Linked DNA regions of Saccharomyces cerevisiae S288C. The protein of the gene in region 2 interacts with the protein of the main gene of each other region in a pairwise test. Each region holds a gene or a part of one and is shown on either strand. Other genes may lie near its edges.

Region 1 (4,989 bases), 890 kb from region 2:
ATTTGGTGTTGGTGATAAAGGTAATCTTGTCAACCCCAAATCAAACAATTGGTCATCCACATTGGAATCCAGAATGTTATCTGATCTCGAAGCTAACAAGGGAATTCTAGAGTTATCCAATTTGGAGATAGATTTAGTTATTGATGAATTTAATTGGATGGTAGTCGGTGAAGAGCCGTATATGTCCTGTTTATTTTCGTTGTCCTTAGTTAGTGTGCTAGTGCTATTGATGGTATCCTGGGGGGTTTTAATAAATAATTTTTTATTGTTAGATCTTAGCGGCGTTCTCTGTAAGATGTTGTTGGCATTTTCCAGCCCTATGGATGTTGCATTAGTGGTAATATCCTTTCTTGCCTTCTGAAAATCCACTAACGCGCTGTTAGACGATATCAATGCTTTTGCATAAGGTGTACCGACGTCATTCAGAATTTTTCTTCCATATGGTGTCAACGACAGGGAGGAGAACCTTTTTGATGGAGATGTCGGCAGCGGTTGATTGAACATGAGATTCATGTCAATCTTACTCAGAGGAGTGCGTGAAAATGCGCCGGTGCATGAAGATGAGGGTGTTTTTCCATTACTCTTCAAAAGATTGTTCAAATCGACATTGCTAAAAACATTCTGTTGTTGACCTGGGTTCTCTGTGGTGCTTTGCTGAGCACCGTTAGAATCTGTTACAAATCGAAGTGGTGTCTTTGCCGGAGTTTTGTGAAAGAAATTGAAATTGGTGGACGGAGAGTCCAACAAAAATTCTTTGAATTGCTCTGGGGATGCAACCAAAAATTCGCTGGGTAAAGAGTTGCCGAACTGCAAAACAGAAGAAGGTTGAACGTTGATATCGTCCAAAGTCTCACTTGTATCTGTCCTTGTGACAGCAGGAGGTACAAGTGAACCTAGAGCTTGCTGTTGTTGTTGTTGTTGTTGTTGTTGTTGTTGTTGCTGTTGTATCTGCTGATGATGCGGTAATATACTGTTCTCTACCAACGACGATTCGTTGCTCGAACTGTTGTGAGCGTCTGTATTGGCAAAATGATCTTGAGTCTGTTGATACTGATTAGAAGAATAGGGCGTGGGGAATTGAGTCGTTGTAGGTAACGGACTGTTAAAATTATATTTGAATTCTGACATTACCTTCAAAAAATTTGTATCTGCATTATTGTCCGTAGAGGGCTGTCTTGAGGAAGTTGCAGTTGCCCCAGTTGAGGTATAATTTTGCTGGTAGCTTATATCTCTGTCCATAGTTGGAATCAATGCTCTATTCTGACCAATTTATTCCAATTTGGACACTTTTTCCACCCACAATGCCGATGCCAAATATTCAGAAGATCCTTGCAGCTCCTTAAGGCTCTGTCCTATTTGTTTTGTTTTGTTCTTGTTTTGTTGTTTTTTTTTTTTGCGTCCCGTTTCTTTTCGCGAGGAGGGTTACGCCAAACGCCAAAAGGCTTATGCGGGTAGTGACCTAAACTTGTTTACTGGAATGCTATTAACGATGCACAACAGATAATGAATAAATACAGATGAGTATCTAGGATGCCAGAAGTGTTCAACAATATTCAGGTGAAAAAATTGCCGACTAGGTTGAATAGTAAAAGCATACCGAAATGGATATGGATACGCAGGAGGCAGAACTATCGAGCCAGCTGGAGAATCTTACAATAAATTCACCACGAAAGCTACGCTCGAACGCGCACAGTAACAGTGGTAAAGTGTTTAAGGAATATGAAAGTAACCACGATTTTCAAGATTCAAATTTTACTTCCCAAGTTGTGGAACCTGCAATATCCGATTCTGTCAAAAAACCTCCTACAATGACAGTTTTGAACAACTATAGCACGGTGCATCAGAAAGTGCCGTCAGGTTTTTCAGGCACGACTGCTACATCTCATCAAGAAGCTCAATGGAAGCAGTATTTCCCTGGTATTGGTAGCGGCGGTGGTACCAACTTTGGTGGCGCTGTTGGTACTGCAAACAAAGTTCCTGAATCGGATCTCATTGTGAGCGACTTGGTTAAGGATTTATCTGGAGTTCTTGAAACAAATACATTTAAAAGACATTTAGATATGAAGAATAAAACTACTACTATGCAGACCCATGAAAACCATGATACGATTAGTATTTCACATTCTAAAGATTTCTTTAACGCTGAGAAGGTCTCATCGTCGTTTTCTGATGACAGCGATTCTGGCCCAGCAGCTGAGGCACATGATGTATTTGATGGCATATTACAAAAGCAAAAATCGAATTATTTGGTGGGTTCTTATCCAAGTAATAGCAACAACAAAAACAATAATAATAATAATAATAATAATAATAATAATAGTATTAATATTAATAATAAGGATAACGCTAGAACGAAGGAGGAGGACGAAGAGGACACTTCCAATTCTTTTGAATTTTCATCATCGTCATCCATGTCGTCCTCTCAAACTCAATCAGGCAGAAAATCAAAAGTTCTCAAGAAACCTCCATTGAACACTATTTCACCCGGTCAATTGGGATATCAGTTTAACCATACACACGGCGCATGGGATCCGCCGCTGAACCAGGGCTTAGATGTGTCGAGTTCACATTCTCTGGACAATACATCTTCCAACCAGTCCCAGTTCGCCACAATGGTACCAACTGGAGATAATCACACTAACGGTAAGGCACCTTCAATTCTAGATAAGAAGGCGTATGAATTAACCAGTACCAAACCAGGTGATGTTGGCTACCGCCAAAAGAAAATACAAGAAGAAGAAAATCTAGCAAATAGCGATGACACGCCCCTAGACACACCAAAATTTAATGACCTTTTTACGAAAAATGGCACTAGAGCGAAGGTTAAAGGACAAATGCGTACCTCTCGTTCAATCTCTAATTCCAATCTACTAGAAGCTCACAAGAAACTAAAGACCTTCCCCGCTGAACGGGTTGAAGATATTACGTCCATTTCCGAAGTAAACACCTCGTTCAACGAAACTGAAAAGCAGCTAATATCAATCTTGACTAGTAAACTATCTGGTTCTCCAAGCTATGATTCCGATTGGGAAAAAATCCTGAAAGTTGACCTATCAAGGGGCAAACTGAAGAATATGTTTGGCATGCAAAGACTACTACCGAATGTATTAGTGCTAAACCTTAGTGACAATGAAATGAACACTCTAGAAGGTATACCCTCGAACGTTGTACAGCTATTTTGTTCAAACAACAAAATAACGAGCGCACATTGTTCATTAGCCGGATTCCACGATCTGGAATGCCTCGACTTATCGTACAACCTCTTGAATACAAGTTTAAAATTTTTGTCACTTTGTCATCACCTGCAAGAGGTGAACCTTTCTTACAACTCCATCCAATCCTTAGAAGGGATAGGATCCTCCAGGATGAAAAAACTGAACCTTTCTAACAACGAGATTAATGGTATCATCGATTTCGAACAATTGATACTAACAAACAACTCTGTCGTGGGCGGCTGGTTGACCGTGGAAGTCTTAGATCTAAGCAACAATAACATAATTGGCGTAAGAAACATCAATTGCTTGCCCCGCCTGAAGGTTTTAAACCTCAATGGTAACCCGCTAGTTTCCATCGTGGAATCTTCTAAGATGGAGAACGGAACGTTGAGAGCGCTTTCCATCAAAAATACAGGAGGCGCGCTATCCAAATTACAAAATTACAAGTTGGATGATCAATTCACGTTCCCCTACCAAAATCTAAAGATTCTAAAACTGGACGGCTTCGCTCAACTTAGCAAATGGCAAAAATGGCCTGCCACTTTGCAAATTCTGGAGATCAACGGCGGCCTGGCCTCCTCTTTGCCGCGATTCTCTTCTCTAAAATCCACCAACTTATATTCTCTAACTATAGCTAATGTTAGAGACTTCACACACTTACCAGTGGACCTCTCCAAGGAACTACCGTTCTTGCAAGAGCTACATCTGCCAGGCAACAACCTACAAAACGCACACAAGTTAACAAAAACTCTCCCACGCCAATCAGTAAAATTTCTTGATCTACGAAATAACCCAATCACGACACCACGCCACGATCGCGCCAGCACGAGCTTGCATTACCGGCAGTTGCTCCAGCTTGCTGGCCTCTGCCAGCAGCAATGTCCCGCCCTGGCGACCCTCTGGTTAGATGACACTCCTGCCCCAACTGCCACGAATCTGTAACCCCATAACTATACCCGTACGCAGTACTAAAAATGTATGTAATTAGTAAATGTATGTAACAATTTCACCGTTTTGTGTAACAATTCATTCATTCATTCTTTTGATCCTTTAGTACCGTCCGCACATGATGTCATTTCCCCCTCATTTTTGTTTGCTGGTATGATTCCCCGCCCGGGCGACGGTACGGCTGTTATCCAGCGATGCGGGACTTCCGTCCACAGGTATCTTTTTCTCCAACTCCAACAGAGATGGAAAATGAGGGGCGGGTGTAGGTAAGCAGAATGAGGAGAAATTTGTAATGAAAATGGAAGTTCGGCGGTTATATAAATGGGGGGGGTTTGTCGGTGACAATTGACTTCACTCTCCTTTCCTCAAAAATTCTTGGGTGTTAGGATTAGAAGTATCTGGAAAACCAACCAAGAAAACTACAATAACAAAAATAAATAAAGCATGTTCAGTAGATCTACGCTCTGCTTAAAGACGTCTGCATCCTCCATTGGGAGACTTCAATTGAGATATTTCTCACACCTTCCTATGACAGTGCCTATCAAGCTGCCCAATGGGTTGGAATATGAGCAACCAACGGGGTTGTTCATCAACAACAAGTTTGTTCCTTCTAAACAGAACAAGACCTTCGAAGTCATTAACCCTTCCACGGAAGAAGAAATATGTCATATTTATGAAGGTAGAGAGGACGATGTGGAAGAGGCCGTGCAGGCCGCCGACCGTGCCTTCTCTAATGGGTCTTGGAACGGTATCGACCCTATTGACAGGGGTAAGGCTTTGTACAGGTTAGCCGAATTAATTGAACAGGACAAGGATGTCATTGCTT
Region 2 (4,576 bases):
GATTCTGGGATAGAGATCATACTTGACTGTTCTTTTGATGAGTTAATGAACGACAAGGAAATAGTAAGCTTGTCTAACCAGGTCACCAGGGCATACTCCGCGAATAGAAGGGCGAACCATTTTGCAGAAATAAAGGTGGCCCCATTCGACAAAAGACTAAAGCAAAGGTTTGAAACTACTCTGAAAAATACCAATTATGAAAACTGGAACCATTTTAAATTCCTACCAGACGACAAAATCATGTTTGGAGATGAGCATATAAGTAAGGACAAAATAGTGTATTTAACGGCCGATACAGAGGAAAAGCTGGAGAAGCTGGAACCCGGGATGCGATACATTGTTGGCGGCATTGTAGACAAGAATCGTTATAAAGAATTGTGTCTGAAGAAGGCCCAAAAGATGGGCATTCCTACGCGAAGATTGCCCATTGACGAGTACATCAATCTCGAAGGCAGAAGAGTGTTGACGACAACGCACGTCGTGCAACTCATGCTGAAATACTTTGATGACCATAACTGGAAAAATGCCTTTGAAAGCGTTTTACCACCCAGAAAGCTGGATGCGGAAGCAAAATCCGCAAGCTCTTCGCCAGCTCCAAAGGACACATAGGCAGCCATCACTGTAGTATTATTAGTAACTGAATAGCAAAATAGTAATAGTCTCCGTAGCTACAATAGGTGTATATTGATGTCAGAGATACGGGTTAAACATGCGCAACTGGTAGTAGTTCTTCAAAGGGTGTTTATGCTTATCATAGTACTTGGACATTAGCCGCCGAAACTGGCTCCACTCGAAATCTAAATGGCATTCCCTTTTTAATATTAACAACACCAATCTTAGTGTCCGAGAGGTCCAAATCTAATGTAGGGCCGTGGGAGGATACTTCTTATTTCTCTTTGCTTATTTTGCTTTGATGTTGTATGTGTTTTACCTGTAAATTCTCTAATATGGTCATTTTTGCTCTTAATGACTCTTTTATTTTTACCCGGATTGCAATTTTTCACATATCGTCTTTTTATTCACTACGTACTTTAATCGTCTTCGCGATGATATGTACTGCTAACGAAAGAATGCCATACAAAAAAAAAGCTACCACATCGCTCGACGACCTCAATTATGCAACTTGTGCCGCTAGAATTGAATAGATCCACTCTAAGTGGGATATCTGGGTCCATCTCCATCTCCTGCTGGATCATTGTGTTTGTCCCTCAAATTTACGAGAACTTTTACCGGAAGTCGTCTGATGGGCTGTCTTTATTGTTCGTGGTACTTTGGTTGGCCGGCGATGTCTTTAACCTTATGGGTGCCGTTATGCAACATCTTTTGTCTACCATGATCATTCTTGCTGCTTACTATACGGTGGCAGATATCATTTTACTAGGTCAATGTCTATGGTACGATAATGAGGAAAAACCAGCAGTAGACCCTATTCATCTCTCCCCTGCCAATCCAATAAACGAAAACGTTCTGCACGATGTGTTCAATGAACAACAACCGCTTTTGAATTCCCAAGGTCAGCCAAATCGTATTGATGAAGAAATGGCTGCTCCTTCATCCGACGGAAACGCTGGTGATGATAATCTCCGTGAAGTCAATTCAAGAAATTTGATAAAAGACATATTTATTGTTAGTGGTGTAGTTTTTGTAGGTTTCATCTCGTGGTATGTAACCTACTGCGTAAACTACACGCAACCTCCTCCCGTGGAGGATCCATCACTGCCTGTTCCCGAACTGCAGATCAATTGGATGGCTCAGATATTCGGTTACTTAAGTGCCCTTTTGTATCTGGGTTCAAGAATTCCTCAGATATTACTGAATTTTAAGAGAAAGTCTTGTGAAGGTATCAGTTTCCTATTCTTTTTGTTCGCCTGTTTGGGTAATACCACATTTATTTTCTCTGTGATTGTCATTTCTTTAGACTGGAAGTATCTAATTATGAATGCTTCCTGGTTGGTTGGAAGCATAGGTACTTTATTCATGGATTTCGTCATATTTTCCCAGTTTTTCATTTACAAAAGAAATAAAAAATTTATACTGAATTAACATGTTCTATCTAATATTTATTTAACATATTTTTGACCTCACAAACTTTTTTTTTTTTTCTCTCTGTCATTGACATTTTTTTAATGTCACAAAAAGAAAAATTAAATGTATTATAAAATTTCATTTAAATAGGAAAAAACCCGTGATTACTAAAGGCATATTAAAGATCTATTAAAGATCTATTAAAGCTTTCTGCTACCAGTATGGATAATATTTTAAAGGCATCAAATATGGAAGGGACTTCAACAATGACAGTTACCTCGCGTAGTTCTGAAGACTCTAGTTGTATCTCAAATCATGAACAAGATACCGATACACATAAGGACGGCGACACAAGTGGTCTGGAAAACAGTAAAATTTCGAAGAGAAAGTGGATGAAAGAGTTTTTTAAACTTTCCAAATCTCCAGCTTCCAAAAGCAGCCGGAGTATAGGTTCCATGAAAAGTAACCAGAGCCTCGTTTCAATGAAAAGTAGTGACGATGGCAACAGTTATAAAAATGATTACTCTTCTATCTGTGGTAACAGCCTTCCATCTGCAGGCTTGAGTCGTTCGAATAGTGTGAAAGAATTAAAATTAGATTCAACTGGAAGTCAGAGATCAAAAAATAATGTTGCCATGTTAGCACGTTCTTCTACAACATCTCAGACAACGTGCTCTTCTTCTTCATCATCATCTTCTTATAACTCTATAAAAGGAAATGAAAATGATATTTTATTGCAGAATAACAATCACTTTAGGCATAACAAAGAAATTCCTCAAAGTAAAGGGAGCTCCAACATTAACACCGCATCGATTATGAGCCAATACAATGTCGATACGCAAGCAACCGCTATAATGAGCGATATGCAAAAGCAATACGACTCGCAACAGATGACATCACCATTTGTAAACGAAGACTTGCATTTCGATCCAAATGGTGAAGTTTCACACGTAATAAAAGCAATTTTTAAAGAAATTGGTTATAAATACGATGATTTCAGTGATATTCCTGTTTTTCAATTAATGCAAGAAATGTATCAACTAGTGAAGAAGAATTCCAGCGCTAGAAGAACAAAGATAACAGACTATGCCTCTAAACTTAAAGAAAAAGAAGCGCAATTAAAAAGTCAAAATGACAAAATTTTGAAGTTAGAAACAACAAACAAGGCCTACAAAACTAAATACAAGGAGGTCTCTCTGGAAAATAAGAAAATAAAAGAGGCTTTCAAAGAACTAGACAATGAGTCATACAATCACGATGAGGAATTACTAAAAAAATACAAATATACTAGGGAAACCTTAGATAGGGTCAATAGAGAACAGCAATTAATCATTGATCAAAACGAGTTTTTGAAGAAAAGTGTCAATGAACTACAAAATGAGGTTAATGCTACCAACTTCAAGTTCTCTTTATTTAAAGAAAAATATGCAAAATTAGCTGATAGCATCACTGAATTGAATACCTCTACGAAAAAAAGAGAGGCCCTGGGAGAAAACTTAACTTTTGAATGCAATGAATTAAAAGAAATATGTTTGAAATACAAAAAAAACATCGAAAATATATCAAATACCAATAAGAATTTACAAAATTCGTTCAAAAATGAAAGGAAAAAAGTTTTAGATTTGAGAAATGAGAGAAATTTGTTGAAAAAGGAAATACTGTTGATTGAATGTCATGGTTCATATTCTCTACTCCTTGTATCTAATATTCTGACATGTTATCGGTTCTTACTGCCAAGTGATACTATTATTGAAACTGAAAGCTTAATTAAGGAGCTACTCAACATGAATAATTCACTTTCGAACCATGTGTCTTCTTCTGACGAGCCTCCAGCGGAGTACTCGAAAAGATTAGAATTAAAATGTGTAGAGTTTGAGGAAAAGTTACTTTATTTCTATCAAGAACTTGTGACGAAGAAAATTATAGACGTCATTTACAAGTGCTTTATTAATTATTACAAGAAAAGTAGGCAAACTGACCAAAAATCCAATCAGAACTCCAGCACTCCGTATAAACAAAGCCAAAGACAAGTTCCGCACTCCATCAAGTGAACCTCAACAGCTACACATTCTTTTATAATCCTTAATATTCTATATATACATATATGAAAAAATAGAAAACGCGAAAACTTGTCATTTTTTTTTTAGGCGTTTTTATAATATACTGAAAATAAAAAGAGGCTCTTTAAATGTTGACACTCTACTCCAATATCAACTGTAAAAAATCTCTTTATCTGCTGACCTAACATCAAAATCCTCAGATTAAAAGTATGTCCTCCACTAGGCCAGAGCTAAAATTCTCTGATGTATCAGAGGAGAGAAACTTCTATAAGAAGTATACAGGGTTGCCGAAGAAACCATTAAAAACCATTAGATTAGTGGATAAAGGCGACTATTACACAGTTATAGGTTCAGATGCGATATTTGTGGCAGATTCAGTCTATCATACTCAATCTGTTTTAAAGAACTGCCAATTGGACCCTGTAACGGCAAAGAACTTCCATGAACCAACTAAATATGTTACTGTTTCGCTACAAGTTCTTGCCACTCTG

The links. Proteins that work in one complex are often made in the same cells at the same time.
Region 1: the proteins of SPO21 (region 2) and NUD1 interact in binary tests that used the Saccharomyces cerevisiae proteins (3 or more experiments, as listed by UniProt).

The regions. Positions count from the first base shown.
Region 1 is NC_001147.6:1,035,233-1,040,221, forward strand, and holds NUD1 (Nud1p), read left to right. Parts: upstream 1-1,601; coding exon 1,602-4,157; downstream 4,158-4,989. Other genes in the region: NDD1 (Ndd1p), read right to left, coding at 1-1,239; aldehyde dehydrogenase (NADP(+)) ALD4, read left to right, coding at 4,608-4,989. UniProt on the Saccharomyces cerevisiae protein: Involved in astral microtubule organization by binding SCP72 to the outer plaque in a cell-cycle dependent manner. Required for the mitotic exit by facilitating the binding of TEMP1 to CDC15.
Region 2 is NC_001147.6:143,088-147,663, forward strand, and holds SPO21 (Spo21p), read left to right. Parts: upstream 1-2,246; coding exon 2,247-4,076; downstream 4,077-4,576. Other genes in the region: TRM10 (tRNA (guanine(9)-N(1))-methyltransferase), read left to right, coding at 1-609; YPQ1 (cationic amino acid transporter), read left to right, coding at 1,117-2,043; mismatch repair ATPase MSH2, read left to right, coding at 4,295-4,576. UniProt on the Saccharomyces cerevisiae protein: Involved in the pathway that organizes the shaping and sizing of the prospore membrane (PSM) during sporulation.